2 linked regions of the Astyanax mexicanus genome follow. The main gene of each other region encodes a partner of the protein of the gene in region 2 in a complex. Links are inferred from orthologs where the notes say so. Each region holds a gene or a part of one and is shown on either strand. Other genes may lie near its edges.

Region 1 (8,943 bases), on a different chromosome or scaffold from region 2:
CTGGTATGGAAAAATATATCGAATAAAATAAAATAATTTATTAAACAACTCTAGCAGGTTTTTCGGCACAATTTAATATAACACTGATTTATGAATCGGTTTTATTTGACGGATAACCTTAAGTCTTAACATGCAAGGCTAACACATTGTATGTAGTACATGTCTTTTTCTAAGAATAAGCTACAGTATGCTTTCAATTATTACATTTGGGAATAATTTTAGTTGTAACTAATTGTGAATTTGATGAAAATAAATAAATATGACCCCATTAACACTGCAATTGTTGGTATCTTCCAGAATGGCTGAGAAAGACACAAGAGAGCGAGAGTTGGCTTGTAAGAAAATGAAAAGGACTCTCTCGTATGAAGACCCAAAAAAATGCAGAAAGAAACAAAAAAAAAAGAAATTGAAAAAGGAAAAGCTAAATAAGAAGAAACTGAGGACAAAGGGACAGCAATGGGTGAAGGAAGATGCTGACTGCTGTGAGTCTGTCAGTTTTACACAAATGCCTGAGATGAAGAAGAAAACAAAGAAAAAAAAGAATATCAAACTGCATGAAGATTGTCCACTGCTGGTGACGCAGTGTAAGAAATCAAATGTCTCAAAGTGTCACAAGCAGCCTAAAGACAATAATCATGCAATGGGGGCACATAAATTCAAGTCACCAGATGAGCCCACAACGCCAGCTTTGGAAGAAAAACATCAAAGCACATCAGCACTTGGAGAAAATGTCTGGCACAAGAAAACAGTCAAGTTCAAATTATCACCTGAAGAGATCCTGAATACCTCAAAACAATATCCTACATTTCACACACAGCCTTACTTGACAGATAAATCACACACTCCTATCACTGAGAACAGCCACAACCGATCAACTTTTGAAGAAAAGAGTGCAGAGATCCAAATTACACCTGAATACATCAACAGCCAAGATTTGTTCATCACACAGAAGTTCTTCTCTGAGCTGCATGAAGACATCTCCAGAAGCCCCAGCACTGATGAGGGTGTTGCTGTTCCACCATACCAGAACAACATAAAGTACAGACAAGCATCACAGGAGACCCCATCATGCAAGCAGACGGCTGAAGCTTCTGTTCAAACTGAAAACTTCTTCACTTCTCCGGGGCTTGCTGGCTCTCTCAGGTTTCATCATAAGAGCAGAGCATCCATATGTACTGAAGAACCGATAGACTTGAGCCTACCCAAAAGAACCAGGCAAGAAGTGCACCTAGATCAGTGCATCAGTAAACCAGTGGAACATCAGAGTTGTTCAGAGCTAAAGATAACAGATCTGACTTCAAGTGATGAGAGTGACATTCCTTTAAAGAGCAGAGCAGACCTATCTCATTTGAAGGTGATTCAGACACGGCTCAATGAGTCCTTCTTCTTCAGGGTGAAGGGAGAAGGAGAATCGCCAAAGGCAAGGTCACCTTTGATGATGTTGACTGGAAGTGCTGATAAGAAGCTAAAGAAGTGAACCTGATTTATGAAAAGAATTATAGTGAAAGCATCTGGAACTGTTTGTTAGGATTAGCAATACAGGTTCTTTTTGTTCTCTTTAGTGTGTTCACTGTATAATATATATGCACACATACATTTATCGTTGCTGTGGTGCATTTTTTTTTGTTGCTGTTTTTCACTTTTTGACATAATTTAAACCTGGCCGTTATTTACATTGTGGCACATTTTCACAAATATTGGACAAATAAAATGCTCCAAAATGTCTTTGAATAAAACCTTTTTTTTACATTTAATTGAGTTAAAAGTTAAGCCAGTGTATTTTCCTCTTCCTGTCATGTTGACAATTTTGTACAAGAGAAAGTTTTAAATTACTACAAAAGCATTTATAAGTGTTTATCTAAGCAGTAAATCTGTTTTGTTTGTAAAAGCTTTGAACCATACAACATTGAGAAATGCAAAAATTTACAGTAGAATTTGAGAAGAATGGCTCATTAGTTGTAGTGATTGGAATATGGTTCCTGATTATGGACATGGAGGTTTCATTAAATGAAGCATTTGTTATATCAGGCATTGATTTTTTTCAAGGAGTGCTTTGTACTTTCGATGTGTTTACTGCTCAGATAAATAGCTTTTGCATGTATATTTTAGGGGTGCAATTATATTAAAAAAATCATTATTGCAGGGTAACTTTAAACATTTATCAGCATCACACAGGTTTAATAAATATTTGAGCAAAATATTTAGGGCACATACAAGAATTTGTCTATATGTAATGCTACATTTTTGGGATTAAGTGATGTGTTAATCATTCAACATTCTGACCTCACTATTGCATATTACTGAATTGCAAATAAACACCTATAGTAATGCTTCAAACTTTAGTACAAAGACCTTCATGGATAGTTGAGCCAGTTCCTCTTAAAAATAATAATAATTATAAAAACGTTTAACACCATTGATTATGGAAGAAACAATAAAAGAACAGGCGGTTATTTCTGTTATATAGCGTGTTTGTGTGTCTAGGCACGGGCTGAATTAAACCGTTACAAACATCTGAAATAAATGAATTGGGATTAATACAATGAATAGTGGTAAAATATAGTCATATGTTTATTTATTTTGTAACCCATCTAGTCAATCACAAACACAAAGTTTTAACGTTCTTAAAAATACAAATTTAAATCACTTATGTCTGCATAGAATTTTATTTACCCTTCTGATTAAACAAACATTCTAATTGTGTCTAAACAGCTTGATTCCCATCCATTTCCACAGATGAAAGAACACGTACACAGGAATAGTGACCGGCAACAAGAGACTATAGAAACACACACTGTTTGAGCCGGTACAGCCCTGGGGGAAATTTTCATCCACACTTGCAGAATACATTAGTCCAATTAAGGACAAAATTGGTACTATCACAGTGACAGTTGACAGAGAAAATAGCATTATGGCTTAGATGTTTACTGCAAATGTAATATAATAAACAACTGCACTCGGCTTATGCTGTAGTTCCACCTATGACTGGGTGGGCTCTTCAATTCCCTCAGCCTTCTTGATCAGCTTTGCATCTTGAGGAATCATGTTAGGAATACCATCAATAATAGGATAGGCAATGCCAAGCTCTTCATTGATTAATTCATTTGTTTCTTTGTTGTACCTAAAAAAGAAAAATGAAAACAATTGTTTATAATAAATACTTTTATTAAAAATAATAAAACATTACACTATGCAAGAATTCTACAATGTAATACAGTTGCAGAGAACAATAAAAAGAATAACTGTAATAGTGATTTTTCTCCATTTCTAATTTCTTAATACACCTTAACCAGACAGTTCAGCAGTCTTTAGGACGTAGGTACCTGGATCAGGTTTGTTCCAAATTGACTGAAAGGAAGATCGCCTGAATTCATTGAATAGGTCTCATGTGTCTTGTATAATGCGGTATAATCAAACATAAAGTAGTAGTAGTACAGCAGTAGTAGTACAGCAGTAGTAGTACAGCAGCAGTGCAGCAGTAGTAGGTAGTATGCAACAGTAGTACACGAGGACGGAGTTAGCGTCTTATTTGCCAGTGTCTTATTCGGATTTTCCGGTCCACCTTAAAAAGTCGAAATGCCAATGATTCGTCAGTAGAGAGCAAGATTGGGCTCATAAATTAGAATAAATAGCCTGTTCTGCATTTATGTTTGAATGTAAATGAACTAGTATACTGTGAAAAGCCTAAAGAACTAGAAATATTACTGTACCATTATTTATTATGACCCTCTGAACTTGGCATTTGTGAAGATTAAAGGACAATAAATTGCCTGTTCTGCATATTTGTAGCTGCCCTAACTCCAGATTATCAAAGAATCTATTGAATTTGACACCAAATTATGAAAATAAAACTAGTATACAGTGAAAAGCTTAAAGAAGTAGACATATTACTGTACAATATTTGTTTATTATGACCCTTTAATCTTGGCATTTGAGAAGATTAAAGGACAATAAATTGCCTGTTCTGCATATATCTATCTGCCTTAACTCCAGATTATCAGAGTCTATTGAAGTTGACACCAAATTATGAAAATAGAACTACTATACTGTAGAGCTGGGCGATATGGGAAAAAATCTTATCACGATATAGTTTTCCATATCAGTCGATATCGATATGTATCACGATATAAATCAAATCACTTTGTGTCACACTTAAAGGTTTGTTTTTATTAGTGAGAGAATAAGGGAGTGATGGAAGTTTTATCACAATATTTTTTTCTGTATCTCCATAATTATTAGGGCTGGCCCGAATAGCATTTTTTGAGCTCCGGATATTTGGCAGTAATTGGTAGCGAATATTCCAATATTAGTTTTTAAAAAAAACAAATTAATCATGAACGCGAGCCAGAACCCGAGCTTGAACGTCAGCCTGACTCAGGCGCTGCATGAACTCGGGCTTTTTTCCAATTTTTTCCAATTTTCCATGACTGAAAAAAAAACTTGGGCTATAAGCTCAATATTAAATATTTCGTTTGTTTAGAAATTATTTTATATTCTTAAACCATGTTAAATTATATTAGATTAGTAGGGCTGGCCCGAATAGCGTTTTTTGAGCTCAGAATATTGGGCACTGATTGGCAGCCAATATTGGAATATTTGTTTTTAAAAAGACGGATTAAAAACTGATTAAAGTAAAACAAAAATTGCAACTCGGCCCCTTTAATTCACCACAAAGTTTTCCAAGACCCAGCCGGAAAAAAAAAGATTTCCCACCTTTTCCTCAGCTGGGTCGGGCTCAAAAAATGATTTGTGATAGGCTGTTTTTTGGTTTGTTTGTTTAAGCACTTAGGCTTTTGTACTGCTGCAGTGCAATATTTAGATTTTATATTCTGAAATTCGTTAGGTTTTATTTCTTTTAGCATTTTGAACTTTTTTTCCAATTTCAAATTTATTTTTTTCTGTTCGTTATGTTCTATCGGTCCTTGCGTTTTTTGTAGTTGAAGTTGAATTTAATATTGAAGTTCAATATTTCTAATTTATATTTTGAAATTCGTTAGATTATATTTATTATTGTATTTTGAGCTCACTTTAGTTGGTTATTTTCCAAATTCATATCTATTTTTCTGTTATTATTAAATGTTATTAGCTTATTAGCTTAGCTTGTCATTTAGCATACAGAACTTCTCACGGATTTTTAATGAATGTTGATTTATTAATTTAAAAGCTGTACCTTATTAAAAGTATTTTAAGCCAGACAGACACTGTGTGATTTTTTAATGAGTTTATCTGCACTTTTAAATGGTTTGTCCTGTAGGAAACGCACACGATTTGTATGCTGACACTGTTGTCTGACTGAGGAGCTGCTTTCCGTCAAATGCAGCCTGTAGGCAGGAAAAAATCCAGCCAGAACCGACCATATCATGAGCCAGTTTTAAAGCCAGTAATTTAGTAGAGCATTAAACTACAAATCTGAGATGTACCTGCTGTACTTCTTAATCTCTGCCCCCAAAACGGTCCATTAACTTGCTTGACAGACGCGTCAAATCCCCCGCGAGCACGCGCGGCGCACAGCGCACCGATTAATTCATGCGTTGAGCTTTAAACGCGCAGCTGAGCTGTAATTGGGGAAATATCACAAAAATCACAGTGTGATTTGTTACATTAAAAAAAAGACCATTTTCTTCCGCCTAATCTGAGAGGAAAGCGGTGTTCTCGACCGGCCCGAGTTCATGCAGCGCCTGAGTCAGGCTGGCGTTCAAGCTCGGGTTCGGGCTCGCGTTCAGGCAGATAATCTAAATGATAAATGATTTTGTGTTTTTGCACTTGGGCCATAAGCTCAATATTAAAAAGTTCGTTTGTTTAGAAATTATTTTATATCCTTAAACCATGTTAAATTATATTAGATTAGAGGAAAGTCATTTAGACATCATTCTTAAGGTGTTTTTGTCCTGTTACCGCTCCGCAAAAAAACCTCTTCCTTTAATCCGCGCCCCACATACACATTTTTGCAGCACCTGCCCCGAGGTCCTAATATAAATTGAATTAATTACATTTAGTGCTTAAAATTTACTTAAAATTTATTTAAAACGTGCTGAACAGTGCGGCCGTTTATTCCCAAAGTCCAAACACTATGGTTGTTTGCGTGTGTCGGGCCATACTCCACTATTCTTTAGGGTTTTTTGTTGCATGCATGAGAATAACTATTACAATTTTCTTAACTATTTATTAATTTGCTCCAGCGTCTTCTGGATTGATTACACGTTGTGTTTTCGTTGTTTGCCGCGCCACTTAGACGGAAATGGAAATGAATGTTTATCGAATTCTATTGCACAGGCTTATCATCGTCATCGAGGGAAAAATTATCGCGAAACAAATCGATATCGTTATATCGCCCAGCACTACTATACTGTGAATAGCCTAAACAACAATGTATATTACTGTACCATTTTTATTATGACCCTCTGAACTTGGCATTTAATACAATTTTGAAGTAGAATAAATTGCCTGTACTACATATTTCTAGTTGTTTTTACTCCACATTATCAGTCTGTTGAAATTTATGCTTATTTCCCACCTCTATATAACATTATTTCATGCGCGTGTGTGCCATATTTAAATTCTTGCCTGTTACAAAACTGGTAGTATTGTTTTTCAGTGACCATCTGAATATAAGAAATCTGTTATAATTGCACTTTACTGAATCATGACGCATGACGTTTTGATAACTTAAAAATTTAATAGAAATTGCATTATAAGTTTATCATTGAAATATTTCATTCCGACACATAACTGTAAAACAATTTACACATGCACACAAGTAGTCTGCAAAGCATGTACAATAGAAAAAAAATAATTTATTGAAATCAGTCATCATAGTACATACTTCTTTTATTTTTTCCTTACTTACTTTTTGAATAAAAGCCCTTTTGATATCACTACCCCTCTAATGCCCACATGGGTCAAAAATTACCCACCTTCAATTTTTTATGGAACTTCATGTATAGCTGAGTGTTTCTTTAGCACAAATTTTCTTTTTCTTTTCTTTTTTATTTTATGAAGAAGCTTTTGTATTTCTACATCAGTTTTACACATATTGGTCAGACATGACCCACATTTACTATTTCACAGCTCAGCACAGATCTACTTTCACAACTCAGTACCATCTTACAGTAACATTTTCTTAAAAATATGTGATGCCTATAGTAAAAGATAACTGAACATAATATTAAATAGGTTTAGATTACCTAAATAGTGAGTACATTACCTGTTAGTAAGTTATAAGTCATTATTTTTAGCTATTAGCTGTTCATATTCTATTTTAGTTATTTAAATCTAATGTAGTTAGTTAACTGTTGAAGTAGCTTGGTTACATACATTGGTAGGCCATTTAGCTACAGGGTATTTTTGTGATGATGATATTAGGCCTGTCGCGATAACTATGTTATCGACTTATCGTACGAGAATTTTTTTATCGCGATCATTTTGCCGACGTCGATAAGAGCCGCGCGTGTCCGAGGGGATTTGTTTAAGTTACATGAGAGAGCGAGTCCCGCTGCTCTCTGGCCGGCTCTCGCCGGATCCGTCAGACAGCGACATCTATCGGTTAGGAACTGAGTGCTCGCAGAGTTTATGCAGCAGTGAGAGTGAGCCGTGACTGTCCTGCTACACACACACACACACACACACACACACACACACACACACACACACACACACACACACACACACAGCGAGGAGAGTGTGTGTGTAGATGTGTTAGATAGCGAACGTATTCGAGGCTAATTGGACTTTCTTAAAACTAAACGGCTTTAGAGAACGTTTGAGGAAGTTTAGTCCGGGATGGGCTGTGTTTTAAAACCGAATTCCACGGCTCCGGTGCGGGAGTATTTTGGCTTTAAGCCAAATGAGCGAGGAGAACCATCAGCGCGAATCAGCCGGTATGTTTACAAGGTTTCACAACAGTGGAAACAAAAGGGGGCAATATTACTAACATGAGATCTTATTTAAAGCACAACCATCCAGCCCAATTCATCCAACTGAATGTTTAATATAAAAAATTGTTCCTCCTGTTGTTGTTGCTCTGAATTAGTCTGACAGTTACATTAAAAAATATATTTATAGCAAAAGTTCTGGCCTGCTGAGCTATCTGTGTGTCTCTGATCATATGGACTAAGCTAATGTGTGTTTTACAGCATATACATATATCATGAAAAAATGATTCTGCAAGTGCCCATGTGTTTAGAGTTTTAAAAAAATAATTAATGTAAATGTTACTTTAATCTATTTGTTGTTACTTTATTTTTTGAATTAGGGTCTGTTTAATATTTAGTGCAGTTTTTCAGAACCCAGGGTGGGTGTACTTTATTTGTTTTAGTTATTTAAGATATTAAAATATTTTTATATTGGGAGCCCAATGTCTGCTCTTAATAATATAAAGTTAGTTTAACTGTAAAATGGTGTAATAATATTATGCTAGTATATTATTAGTGTGGCACATTGTCTAAAATTACCTTTGAGAGCCCAGAAGCAGGAAAAAGAATTTTCTATAGTGGCGCTTTAAAATTATAATATTATTGTTTATCGTAATAATTTCTGGGACAATATACCATCCTGAAAATTTTGTTAACGTGGCCTATTGGGGACAGTAACTGAAAAATGTAATTTACTTAAAGAATAAACTCCTTAAACAAAATAAATAGTTTAATATAGTACAATATTTTATAGTTCAATAGTTTCAAATATTCAGTAGACACATACAAGTGTAAACATTTGTAGAGTTTAAAAATAAATAACAGTAAATTATGACATTATAATTTAATAACAATAATAATAACAATAATAATAATAATAATAATAATAATAATAATAAATATAGGCCGTTTTAATGAGGAAAACAATAACAAAGCTACTGCGCATGTCTGTTCCTTCGACGCTTCCGGTGGCGCTATTTTCAAGTATACAGCTCTCAAAATGAGAGCGCATATTTTGCAAGAAATAAATAAA
Region 2 (11,113 bases):
AGCCGAGCAGTCAGCTACTGAAACCCCTTGATAGCCCCTGTGATGCTATAGAAGATGAAACCAAAACTTCACATGCAGCATTGTTCTTTTGTACATCTCTTTATGTATGAATTTAGCCAAAGAAGAAAATTAGAATATTATAAAAAAAAAAGGGGGAAAAAAAAGGAAGAAAACACATGTTGAGGAAGAGTTTTAATCTTAACTTACTACTCCCTATATAGTGTACTATATGAGTCAAAAATATAGAACCTAAACAAAGCAGTATTTATTTAACAGAATAGAATGTGGAAATCTAAAAAAATGGTATTTGTGATTCAAAAAGAAAAAAGCATGTACTGTGCTGTTTTTTTTAATTGGAGCATTTCTAGTTTTGACACAATACAAGAATAAATAACAGATTCAGCAGCAAAACAATTACATCATTTGATATTTTAGCATTTATTTAGCATTTATTAAAAAAACAAAAAAAAAACAAGAAACCAGCCACTTTCAAAGCTGCAAAACCAGACAAAAAGATCCTGAGCGGCTTTTGTGAGCAATCACTTTTACTTCTCCATGAAAGCAGCCCATCTACCTGACGCAGGTTTTTCAGCACAGCAGTCTCTGGGGGTCCTCTCTGGAGGTCATGTGATTAGCACACCATCAGAACCTCCAGGGTTCATCCTAGAGTCAAATGCCTGTCCTGTCATGAGTGAGTGATGGAAAAGGTGCATCTAAAACCTCAGCAAACTCCAGAGGCCTGGGCTGACGACAACCGATACTGGATGCTGGCCGTCTGTATGGATCAATGCAGATCAGAAATTTGGGGACACGAGGCATCATGTCAGAATGCACTCAGGTTCTAGGGTCCTGGAGTTCATGTTGTGAGAGATAGAAGCGACGGTTGACTTCACTGATGGGTACGTCCCGCAGTCGGGGAATAGCTTCTTCCTGAGAAGACACCCCACGCTGACTCTTAGCATAGCGATCTACAGAAGAATCAAAATAAATTAATCAATAAATAACAAAATAGACAATATTAAGTTATCTATTAAAAAATGTTTCTGTTTTTAATTTTATGAATTTTAAATATTTTATGCCACCAACTTCCATGACTTCTCCATAATCCTTTAATAAGGACATTTATTAATAAGTAAAGTTATTGTTTTTAGGGATGCACAGATGTAGGAATTCTGGGCCGATATTAGATTGTACACATTTACCTTTCTAACTATGCAATGCCAATGCAGATATACATAATTATAACCTACAGAGAGACTAGAGTTACCAGTATAACTTTACAGCATTAAAAATAATAAAAAATAAATACAAACTAATGTCACTGTAATTCTAAATTTTATTTAAGTTAAAACAAATAGTAATTTTCGGTAGAGAATATACATGTCCAACTTTAATATAAAATTACTATTTAGGGAGATTAAAGGTTGGCAGATACAGAACCTACGGCAACAATTTTCTGAAGGGATCAATTCTCTAATTCTATTTTCTACTAAGAAATAAACCGCATGGGACATCTGACCTGGTGTGTGTAAAGTTTTGCATGAGCTTCTATATTTTACATAACATTTACATGAGAGCAGCATTTAGTTTTGAACTGGCTAGAAGTAGATCATTCAGTTTTCAGTTCTTCTCCAGTTTCTCTGAATCACTATATCACTTCTCTGTATATACATTGTTTGTCTGCACTTTTTTACTTTCTAAATGAATAAAGTAAATGTGAAAGGTGCTGCAAACCATGGTGAGCACCGACAGGCCAACATTTGGTCTAACCAAGAGCAGGCTATTCTCATCATTTCCACATATTAAAAGTAATGACTGATCAACAGAATAGTAGATATTTGTATCTATATAAATATCTACTATAACAATAATGGTAAAATTGGGAAAGCTGAATTGTATGTATATTATATACATAAATGTCATAGATATAAAATTACATAACATTATACATTAAAATGCTAGTATTTTCATGTATTTGTGTGTATTTTTTATATTTATTGTGGTGTGTTTTTCCAACAAATGATTGTAATATCTCAGCTGATGCTTTTAAACTAGAACAAATGATTGTGCTGAGTAAAAGTAAAAAAAGAGCTTTAAGAGAGGAGGGCAGCAGGCCTGTAAGTGCGCACATGGATGTGTTTTAGAGAGAGCACAAGAGCGAGAGCATGCTCTTGAGAGAGAGAAATTGTGTGTTTGTGTGTGTGTGTGTGTGTGTGTGTGAGAGAGAGAGAGATGCAGTAAGAGTTAGTTATAAGATTGAATGCATATTTCAGCATAAACAGAAAGTAACCCATCTACCTTCTGAACTAGTGATGTAGTGATGCTGTTTACAATTCTAAATATAGCCAATATGCTTAAACATCACCATGCTTTATAAAACTAATATGATTAACTTGTGTTTAAAAAACATAAAAAATTCAAAGTTTTCAGAAACTTTGAGGGCCTCTAGAAAGAAGACCCCGGTTGCCACTTCTAATATTATTACAGCTGTGGAGAAACCCAACCTCATACCTGTGATGTTGTTCACAGAACACAGAGGAGCAGTGTTCATCATATTGACTCCAAACAGCAGCACGAAACACACTGCTAAAGCAACCAACAGGTAGATCGGAATAGCAAGAGCCCAGTACCTGCAGACAAATCAGTGTCCCTTATTAATCATTTTGTAATTTTGACATTCAGTTCCAATTTACAAAAGCGAGCATATAAATTGTCAAAAAAGTTTATTAGCTGAAAACAAAGTCTCTTTGATGCATAATGCCTAATTTAAGAGTAACTTAAATAATGTCTATGTTGCAGAAGATATTGCTTAAAAGGTGAGTTCTTTAACAGTATAATGACCCAAAACACACAGCTAAAAATATCCAAGGATGGCTGAGAGCAAAGCACTGAACAGTTCAGAGGAGACCTTCTATGAACCTTCCTGATCTTAAATAAATTTTATATATAAAAAAAAAAACATAAATCCAGACTATCTAAGGACATGATTCACATACTTCTGAGGCCAGTACGTCAATCCAATAGAGTGGAGCCAGGACTCAGGAACATACGCCCATACTAAATACAGCACTGTGAGAAAACAACATGAACACATTAGTTGGCTTTATTATTAATGAACATTTATATGGCAAGGAAAGCATTATAGCCCACAATTACACCAGCAATAACAAAAGTCCTGACTTATTTTGTACCAGTAATATCATATTTAGATTCACATACAGTCAATATAACTTTGACTAGTTATATGGGATTTGCATGGGATTTAACACTATCTTAACTATAATTAACTTTTGTTCAAGTAAAAACTGTAATTAAATATACAATACAATATACAAAATGGTCACATCCAGCCTTTTGGCTTTCAATACCTGGCACTTCATATATCCACCTCAGAAATTGAACCGGACTTCACTGCTTCACATTTTTTCTGCTTAACTGTAGTATCTATTCTTATCAGTAACACCTTATCCAAACCATATAATTACAACTTTTTTGAGGCAATTTTTTTTGTTGATCTATATTTTTTTATTGTTACATTGTCTTGTATTTTTGAACACACACACACACACACACACACACACACAGACACACACACACAAAACTGCCTTTTGGGAAAATTAATTACCCACCTCTGCTATAATTTCTGACAGTACAAACAGTTCTTATCAATAATGTTAGATTGCATGTAAACCCAAGGTAAATCAACCCACAAACATTTTATTTTATATACATATCCTCCTGGTAATATGAAGAGTCAGCGCTTTATAGATCTTTAGATTTGATATTATTGGTTAATATTGTAAAGCTGATATCTGAAATGAGTTTTGATTACTAAAATTATGTAATTTTAGGCTAAAACAACCTACTTGCCGTACATTTCAACACTGTGCATTTTAACTGTTTACTTTTAATACCCTTAAAATACATACAGTATCTCATAAACGTGAGTGCACCTCTTACATTTTTGTATATATATTTTTTACCTTTACAAGGGAAAATAATGAAGATATGACACTTTGACAATTGCAACGTGTACTGTGATATTATAACCCTAAAGGGACGTAACAGTAGTAGATTTTATCCTGGCGTAAAATGTTTGTCATCTGACGTTATGACCAACATTTAACCTAAAATTTCTATTGATGTTGGTGGCCAGCTAGGAAAGCATTGACCCTCCAACCTCCAGGAACTGGGCTGCATGGCAGTTTATAACAACAACAAAAAAACAACCCCTAACACACCTCCAAAATGACCACCACCGCTTTGCTGAGGAAACTGAAGCTGAATGGCTCCAGACCTAAACCCTATTGAGCATCTGTGGGGCATCCTCAAATGGAGCTGTGGTAAACTCCATGCCCAAAAGAGTTAGGACAGTGCAGGAAAATAATGTCCACACAAAATAGTGACACTTTGGGAACAATTTGGCCAATTGTAATACTTACTCTTGTTACCAGCTGTTTAGACATTAATGGCTGTGTGTTGAGTTATTCTGAGGGCACAGCAAATTTACACTGCACTTTTATACAAGCTGTACACTGGCTCTTTTATATTGTATCAAAGTGTCATATCTTTAGTGTTGTCACATGAACAGTTATAATAAAATATTTTTGTGTAGGGTGATACTCCCTTAGCTAACTATGTGAGGTACTGCAGCTAGCTAACACTAGTAAAATGAAGATGAAGAGAAGTATCATTAGTTTCATTAAGAAGTGACACTTACAAAAGCCAAACTGTGATCCCAGGAACAGCACAAACCCATAAATAGCTCTCTCAGGCACCGGAGATGGAGAGTTTTCTACCATGATTATAGTGACTAATGTGATATATAGCTAACTATATAACCTAACGTTGTTAACTTAGCTAAGCTAGCTAACCAAGCTAATACAGCAGAACACAGCACTGCCCTAAATGAGTTAGGTAGCTAAAGCTACAGCTAGCTGGTTAGCATGGCTGAAATTTCACCACAAAAACAACAGATAAAAATAAACTTTAGCTAGCGAGCGTTAAACGTGTCTAAATTAATTTTTAATATGTCTTAAATTAACTGGATTTAAATATGTGTAAAACCACCTCTTAAAACAAACCTCTTCCCTTTTAAAGCTAGCTACAGTACACAGGGTACATCCAGATACCACACAGTGAAGTCTACTATATATAAGACTCTAAAATACCACAGCAGTGAACCTCTTAGTGCACTTAAAGAAGTGCACTAGAGTGTGCGGTTTCAGATATACCCTTTCTACAGTCGTGGAGCACGGGCCCTCCACTACAGGCTAGTTAACTACTGCCATCTTTAGGTTTGGAGCAGAACCACGCTGCATATACAGCTCTTAAAAACCTTAAGAGACCACTTCAATTTCTGAATCAGTTTCTCTGATTTTGCTATTTATAGGTATATGTTCGAGTAAAATGAACGTTTTTGTTTTATTCTATAAACTACGTCCAACATTTCTCCCAAATTCCAAATAAAAATATTGTCATTTAAAACATTTATTTGCAGAAACTAAGAAAAGCCTGAAGTAGCAAAAAAGATGCAGAGCTTTCACAGCTCAAGTAATGCAAAGAAAACAAGTTCATATTCATGAAACATTAGGAGTTTATAAATCAATATTTGGTGGAATAACCTTTAATTACAGTTTTTATGCATCTTGGCATGTTCTTCTCCACCAGTCGTACACATTGCTTTTGGATAGCTTTATGCCACTCCTGGTACAAAAATTCAAGCAGTTCAGCTTGGTTTGATGGCTTGATGGATCCTCTGTCTTCCTCTTGATTATATTCCAGAGGTTTTTAATTTGGGAAAATTAAAGAAACTCATACTTTTGAGAGGTCTCTTATTTTTCCCAGTGCTGTACTCATCAGACTGTGACTGTCCTATCAATTCTAGTAAAACAAAATAAAAGCAGTTGCAGTGTTTTAAATAGAAAATCATTGTGTTTCTCATAAAACAGACTAATACAATACTTTTAAATAATAAGGGCCGAGTCATTTATATATTTGACAGGGTTTTTATTGTCCTTTGTGTGTGAAATAAGCGGCAGAGGGCAGTGTCTCCTGTTTACACTGCGGGCTGTCTCGGCGGAGCTGCTATAGTCTGAGGTAGGAGTTCGTGGCTCTATGTTTCAGGAAATCTTCCCCCACCCAGGAGACCGTAACTTATGGACAGGTTTGTTGAATATCTGACTTATTTCATGGTGAAAATTGTGGCGGGAGTATTGTTTTACACGGCTGTGTGCAGCTGCTGTGACTTTCCAAACTTACCGAGGATAAAAACGCGGGATCGCGGCTGTCGGGTGGACCGTAGGGCTAAAAGCTTGTGGGTCGGTGGTATGTCGAAATTTGCTACCCGTCAACATGTGCGAGTAGACTGTACTGCGCATGTGCGGTCAGATATTTTTTTGTGTGTATGTAAAATATTTTATATAATTAATTTTAATGCGCTTTTTTAAGGATGATTCTGTTTTACTCGGATTACGCGCATAAGCTATACAATTTGAATTTGTTGTCATTATTTTGATATCATTTGATTATTTGATAAAAGTATATAAAGTGTCTCAAATTTAAATAATAAAGTGATTTAACGTTAGGCCATCTAAGTGAATATTTTTTTCTACAGCTAGTAACTTCTGCTTGAACATTGTTTTTGATATGATTCCTTTAGCCTTAACCTAAATATTTTAAATGATATGTTTCATACCCTATGGTTAACACGTTCTGACACGGTTGCATAAATCGACAAAACACCAGAGAGAGCTGGTTAGCTAGCTTAGTTTAAGTAAGTTAACTACACTACGTTTGTGAATTATGATATCTAAGAGCAGAATGATATGGGGTAGGTTGTGCATCTAATCTAATGTTAAGAAGTGAGGCAGGTTTATTTCTAGTGCCCGATCTTAAGTTTTGGTCTAACGTAGACCTTCCGCTGGTAAACCTCCTTTGTGAACTGACCTACCTCACTAACAGACAGTACAGTACAGTACAGCAGCCGTTAGCTTAGCTTAGCTTAGCTTAGCGTAGTCTGCTAACGCTAACTGAAGCTCTTTACTTCTACAGACATTCACATCTGGACTGCTGTAGTTGTGGGTAAGGAAGCTTATGTTTCTAATCTAACGCTAACTATATGTTTTTTTCTGATATGAACCTCTCGAATTTTACAGAAGAACAACAAAAATACGACATAAGTAGCTGCCTGTTACTCAGGCTAAAGTTAATAGATAGAAACTCATTCTAACGCAGATTTACTAGTAGAAACACTTATTTCGGATATTAGCTCTAAAATAATTACTATATAACATAATTTTTCAGCTAAATCTGTTTAAAGTAGTCGTATTATTAGGACAACAAATTCTTAATGTAGCTAGGTTAGCTAGTTAGTTTTCTAACAAGTCAAGTCAAGAGGCCTTTATAGTCATTACATCTGAGTACAAGTAACTTTACACTGTGTAACGAAAGTACTTTAGTTAAATTAACTAGCTTAGCTGTTTACTTCACTAATTTAGGTTAACAAATGTTTGACTATTCACGTGTTACCACTGATTTACATAGATGATTTTTGCTCTCTTAGCTATTTATAATTATATTTTACTAGTGTCAGTTGATTAAAACAGTTAATAAAAAGAATCACGATATAATTCTGTCATTAATCATGATTAATCACACTTTTTCTTCCTCAAGACTAAACTTTTGATAATGTGTATTTAAATGTGAACAAAATAATCAGTTAGAAACACCTACATTTTTATTATGGGTGTCATTCTGTGAGTAAATGATGAATAAAATCATGATTACATGTTTATAAATGCTGGTAGTTAGCTATATTTTGTTTTACTTTTTTTACTGTATTGTTATATTTCAGTGTAGCTTTAATGCTTTTTAAACTAAAATATTGTGATTTTCTGAGTTAGAGTTTAACTGAAAGATTTAATGGATAAAATAAACGCTAGTGTAGCTCCATATTCCACTTTCAACAGCTTGAAAAGAGGAAACGTGCCATCAGCTGTGTGTGTGTGTGTGTGTTCATCATAAATAAAAGATAATTTACCTTCTGAACTCAACAGTGAGCGTTGCTGTGATATATTGCTAATAAAACTGCTAATGTGTCACTGGGGGCTGTCAATTTTGTCACATGATTAATTAGCATTAAAACAAATTAAGTTTACAAACAAAATAAGTTTTCATATTAACTGCATGTGTTAACTCTTTAATGCCACACTAACGCTAAGAATAATTATATATATATTGTTTTTACTATTAGAAAATAATTGCCAGGCGCCGAGTGGTCCAGCGGTCTAAAGCGCTGTCACTATGAGCGGGAGGTCGCAGGTTCGAACCCCACATCTCTCCTCACATCTCTTCTAGGGTGATGTCCACAGCACAGGGCGTCTGTGAGATGATGTATCAGAACCGAGTCGCTCCGCTTTCCTCCGAGCGCGCTGTGATGCTACTCTGCAAAGATGCATCAGCAGCAGCTCGAAAAGAAGCGGTGGCTGACTTCACATGTATCGGAGGAAGCATGTATTAGTCTTCACCCTCCTGGTGTGTTGGGGCATTACTAGTGATAGGGGGAGTCCTAATGAGTGGGTTGGGTAAATGGCAGTGTAAATTGAGGGGAAAATGGGAAAATTTTGAAATAAAATTAAAAAAAAAAAAAAAAAAAAAGAAGAAAATAATTCCACATATCTCCACTGTAATTCTGCCTAGTAAAGCTCAGGTACACATCTGTAAACCGTTGGTGTAGCGCAGTGGATAACACCACCTCCTGTTTGTGAGCTACCACATTTTGTAGGAGACTGGGGTTCAATTCCAGGTCTGGGTGACTATGCTGAGCTTCACCAATAAGTCCCTGGGTCCTAATCTATAATGTTGAAGAGACTAGTAAAAAAGTGTATTTCTACTAAATCTATAAAATATAGCTTTTTAAACATCTACAATTTGAATTTTATTGCTAATAATAATATTATTGATATTTTTAGAGGTGAGTAACCCAGGCATAGAGATTAAAAATCAATTTCTAGTGTTGTGTCCCAGCAGAGCAGAGCACAAGAGCTGCAGAGCTCGGATGAATTTTTAACTTCCTGTACCTGTGTTACCCACCTCTAGATATTTAAAACATATCACAGGGAGTTACTTTAGCTGGCTGGCTTAGCTTAGCAGGCCGAACAGTTAAGTTAAGTTCCACACTTAGAATCTGTTTTTTGTGTCGATTATGTTGGCCAGGTTAAGGTAAGAACCTCTGAGAGAGCATCTGTTCACTCTTCCATGAACTTTGTGCTCATTCCCAAAATGTTCCCAATCAGAGATAAAGTCTGACTTTCTTGTAAACTCTGCATCTTCTGTGTGTTTTAGGCTTCTGCCCACAATGTTGGAGTCTGACGATTCAGATATTGAGGACGGTCCTGATGTGGTCCGACACAAGACCAAAATTGTAAGTGCGAAGACGCAGACCAGATTACATATATATTTTTTGAACAAACATATATTTTTACTGTAACATCACAGTATACAAACACAAAGTTTGTATGATGAGATATGATATAATGAGATGAGATATAAAACAGGCAACAAAGGCATTTATATAATTGTATAAACATTACACAATTTCTGTTATGAATAAATCAATGTAAGTAATAGTTAGTATGGTACGTACATTTTGGTTCTAATTTAAGGAAGAACTTATTATACAACCACAGGAAGTTTGAAGAAGGAAGTGAAATGTCAGTGTAAAATTAAATGTGTCTGAGCTATCAAAGATGCCAAAAGAAAATTGTCTTCTCTAGCTAATTTCTGATTATTTATTTTTTCCTTATAGATTTACCAGAACACCTTTCCATACATTCACATGGAACCACCTGGTAAGATTATTCCCTCCTGTTTTAATGTATATGTAATAAATTACTGTCTTAAAATACTGTTTTTGCCATTTTTACTTTTGTTATGATTAAAATCAGCTACTTATTCTTTGAATTCTTCGCATTTTGTAAAAACAATTGGAAAAATGGAAATGCAGCAAAATTGGCTTGATTCAAATCATTTTACATAACTTTTATTTCCATTTTGTTTGTTTAAAACATGCTATTATCTTATGGCTATGTGAGAACAGAAAGATGAGAAGAGGGGAACTCAGAGAACTTTGGACTGAAGTTTGGACAGCTTCAGCTTGTCGTAGGAAGCAAGCCCTCCTTCTCCTTTAAGTAGAGTGAGGAAGGAGAGATGGAATAAAAAAGGAACAAGAGAGGGGGTGGTGGAGGGTTGCGAAAACATCTAAAATCCTTACAACAACACAAAGTCAAGAAGTGTTTTTTTTTTTTTTTTTAAATCATCTTGTATAAGGTATAAGATACCTGTACAGTTTCCATTTTTGAGATACAGGGTTTTTGTGTGACAGGGACGATTAGTACTTTATGCAGTTAAAGTTAAAGAACCAACGTGTCCTACTGCACAAAGAGCTACTTAACCCTAAACCATTTTTTTTCATTAATAGCTAAAATTTGTTCCTTTTAAACTAATAAAACGTACCAGTCCTGCATAGAATTATTATAAACATTTCCTAAGCTTTAAACAATTATTTTATTGTGGTAATTTCTGCTTCTGCAGGGCCCTCTCATGCCTTACCTCTAAACCCATACATCACCCAGTGCCCCTCCCAAACTACTCCTCCTATTTTTTTTAAAGCCTTTTTCACATTTGAGCTGAGGGTGAAGTCAGCGAAAGTCAGGGGGTTTAGTAGCCAGTTAAAGAGTGAAGTTGGTGATTTATTATGCTGTATATTCATGTATTCATGTTTTTTTGTGATGAATGTAGACGTCCTGTATGAGCGTTGGGCTAGAATAAAGCTGGAGGTGAGGGAGGCTGTTGGACACATGATGCACATCTCTGTGTTCTGGTGGCACATTCTGTTCCGGCAGCAAGACAATCACGACACCACTGCCTGGGCGGTGGACATGGGCTTCCTGGACTCCAAGTAAGTTTTTTTTCTTTTCTTTTTTTTTTTTATTTAGAGTTTAGCTCTGGCTCTCCTAGCTCATGTTCTGTGCTGTAGAGAACAATGCTACAGGATTCTGCTGCCTGCCTGTTTTTTTTTGTGTTTTTTTGAGACGTGGCAGTGACGAATAGT

The links.
Region 1: phosphatidylinositol N-acetylglucosaminyltransferase subunit P (region 2) and zgc:162634 share a complex: the UniProt entries of both Homo sapiens proteins name them as parts of the glycosylphosphatidylinositol-N-acetylglucosaminyltransferase (GPI-GnT) complex. The link is inferred for Astyanax mexicanus from reciprocal best matches to the Homo sapiens genes PIGP and PIGY.

Annotation. Positions count from the first base shown.
Region 1 is NC_064417.1:17,143,422-17,152,364, reverse strand, and holds zgc:162634 (phosphatidylinositol N-acetylglucosaminyltransferase subunit Y), read right to left. Parts: upstream 3,061-8,943; 5' UTR 2,911-3,060; coding exon 2,695-2,910; 3' UTR 2,548-2,694; downstream 1-2,547. Other genes in the region: uncharacterized protein si:ch211-176l24.4, read left to right, coding at 299-1,477. UniProt on the Homo sapiens protein: Part of the glycosylphosphatidylinositol-N-acetylglucosaminyltransferase (GPI-GnT) complex that catalyzes the transfer of N-acetylglucosamine from UDP-N-acetylglucosamine to phosphatidylinositol and participates in the first step of GPI biosynthesis.
Region 2 is NC_064427.1:35,145,963-35,157,075, forward strand, and holds phosphatidylinositol N-acetylglucosaminyltransferase subunit P, read right to left. Parts: upstream 5,125-11,113; 5' UTR 4,803-5,124; coding exon 4,721-4,802; intron 3,070-4,720; coding exon 2,997-3,069; intron 2,631-2,996; coding exon 2,512-2,630; intron 969-2,511; coding exon 835-968; 3' UTR 334-834; downstream 1-333. Other genes in the region: E3 ubiquitin-protein ligase TTC3, read left to right, coding at 6,159-6,166, 7,054-7,083, 9,346-9,424, 9,809-9,851, 10,801-10,960. UniProt on the Homo sapiens protein: Part of the glycosylphosphatidylinositol-N-acetylglucosaminyltransferase (GPI-GnT) complex that catalyzes the transfer of N-acetylglucosamine from UDP-N-acetylglucosamine to phosphatidylinositol and participates in the first step of GPI biosynthesis.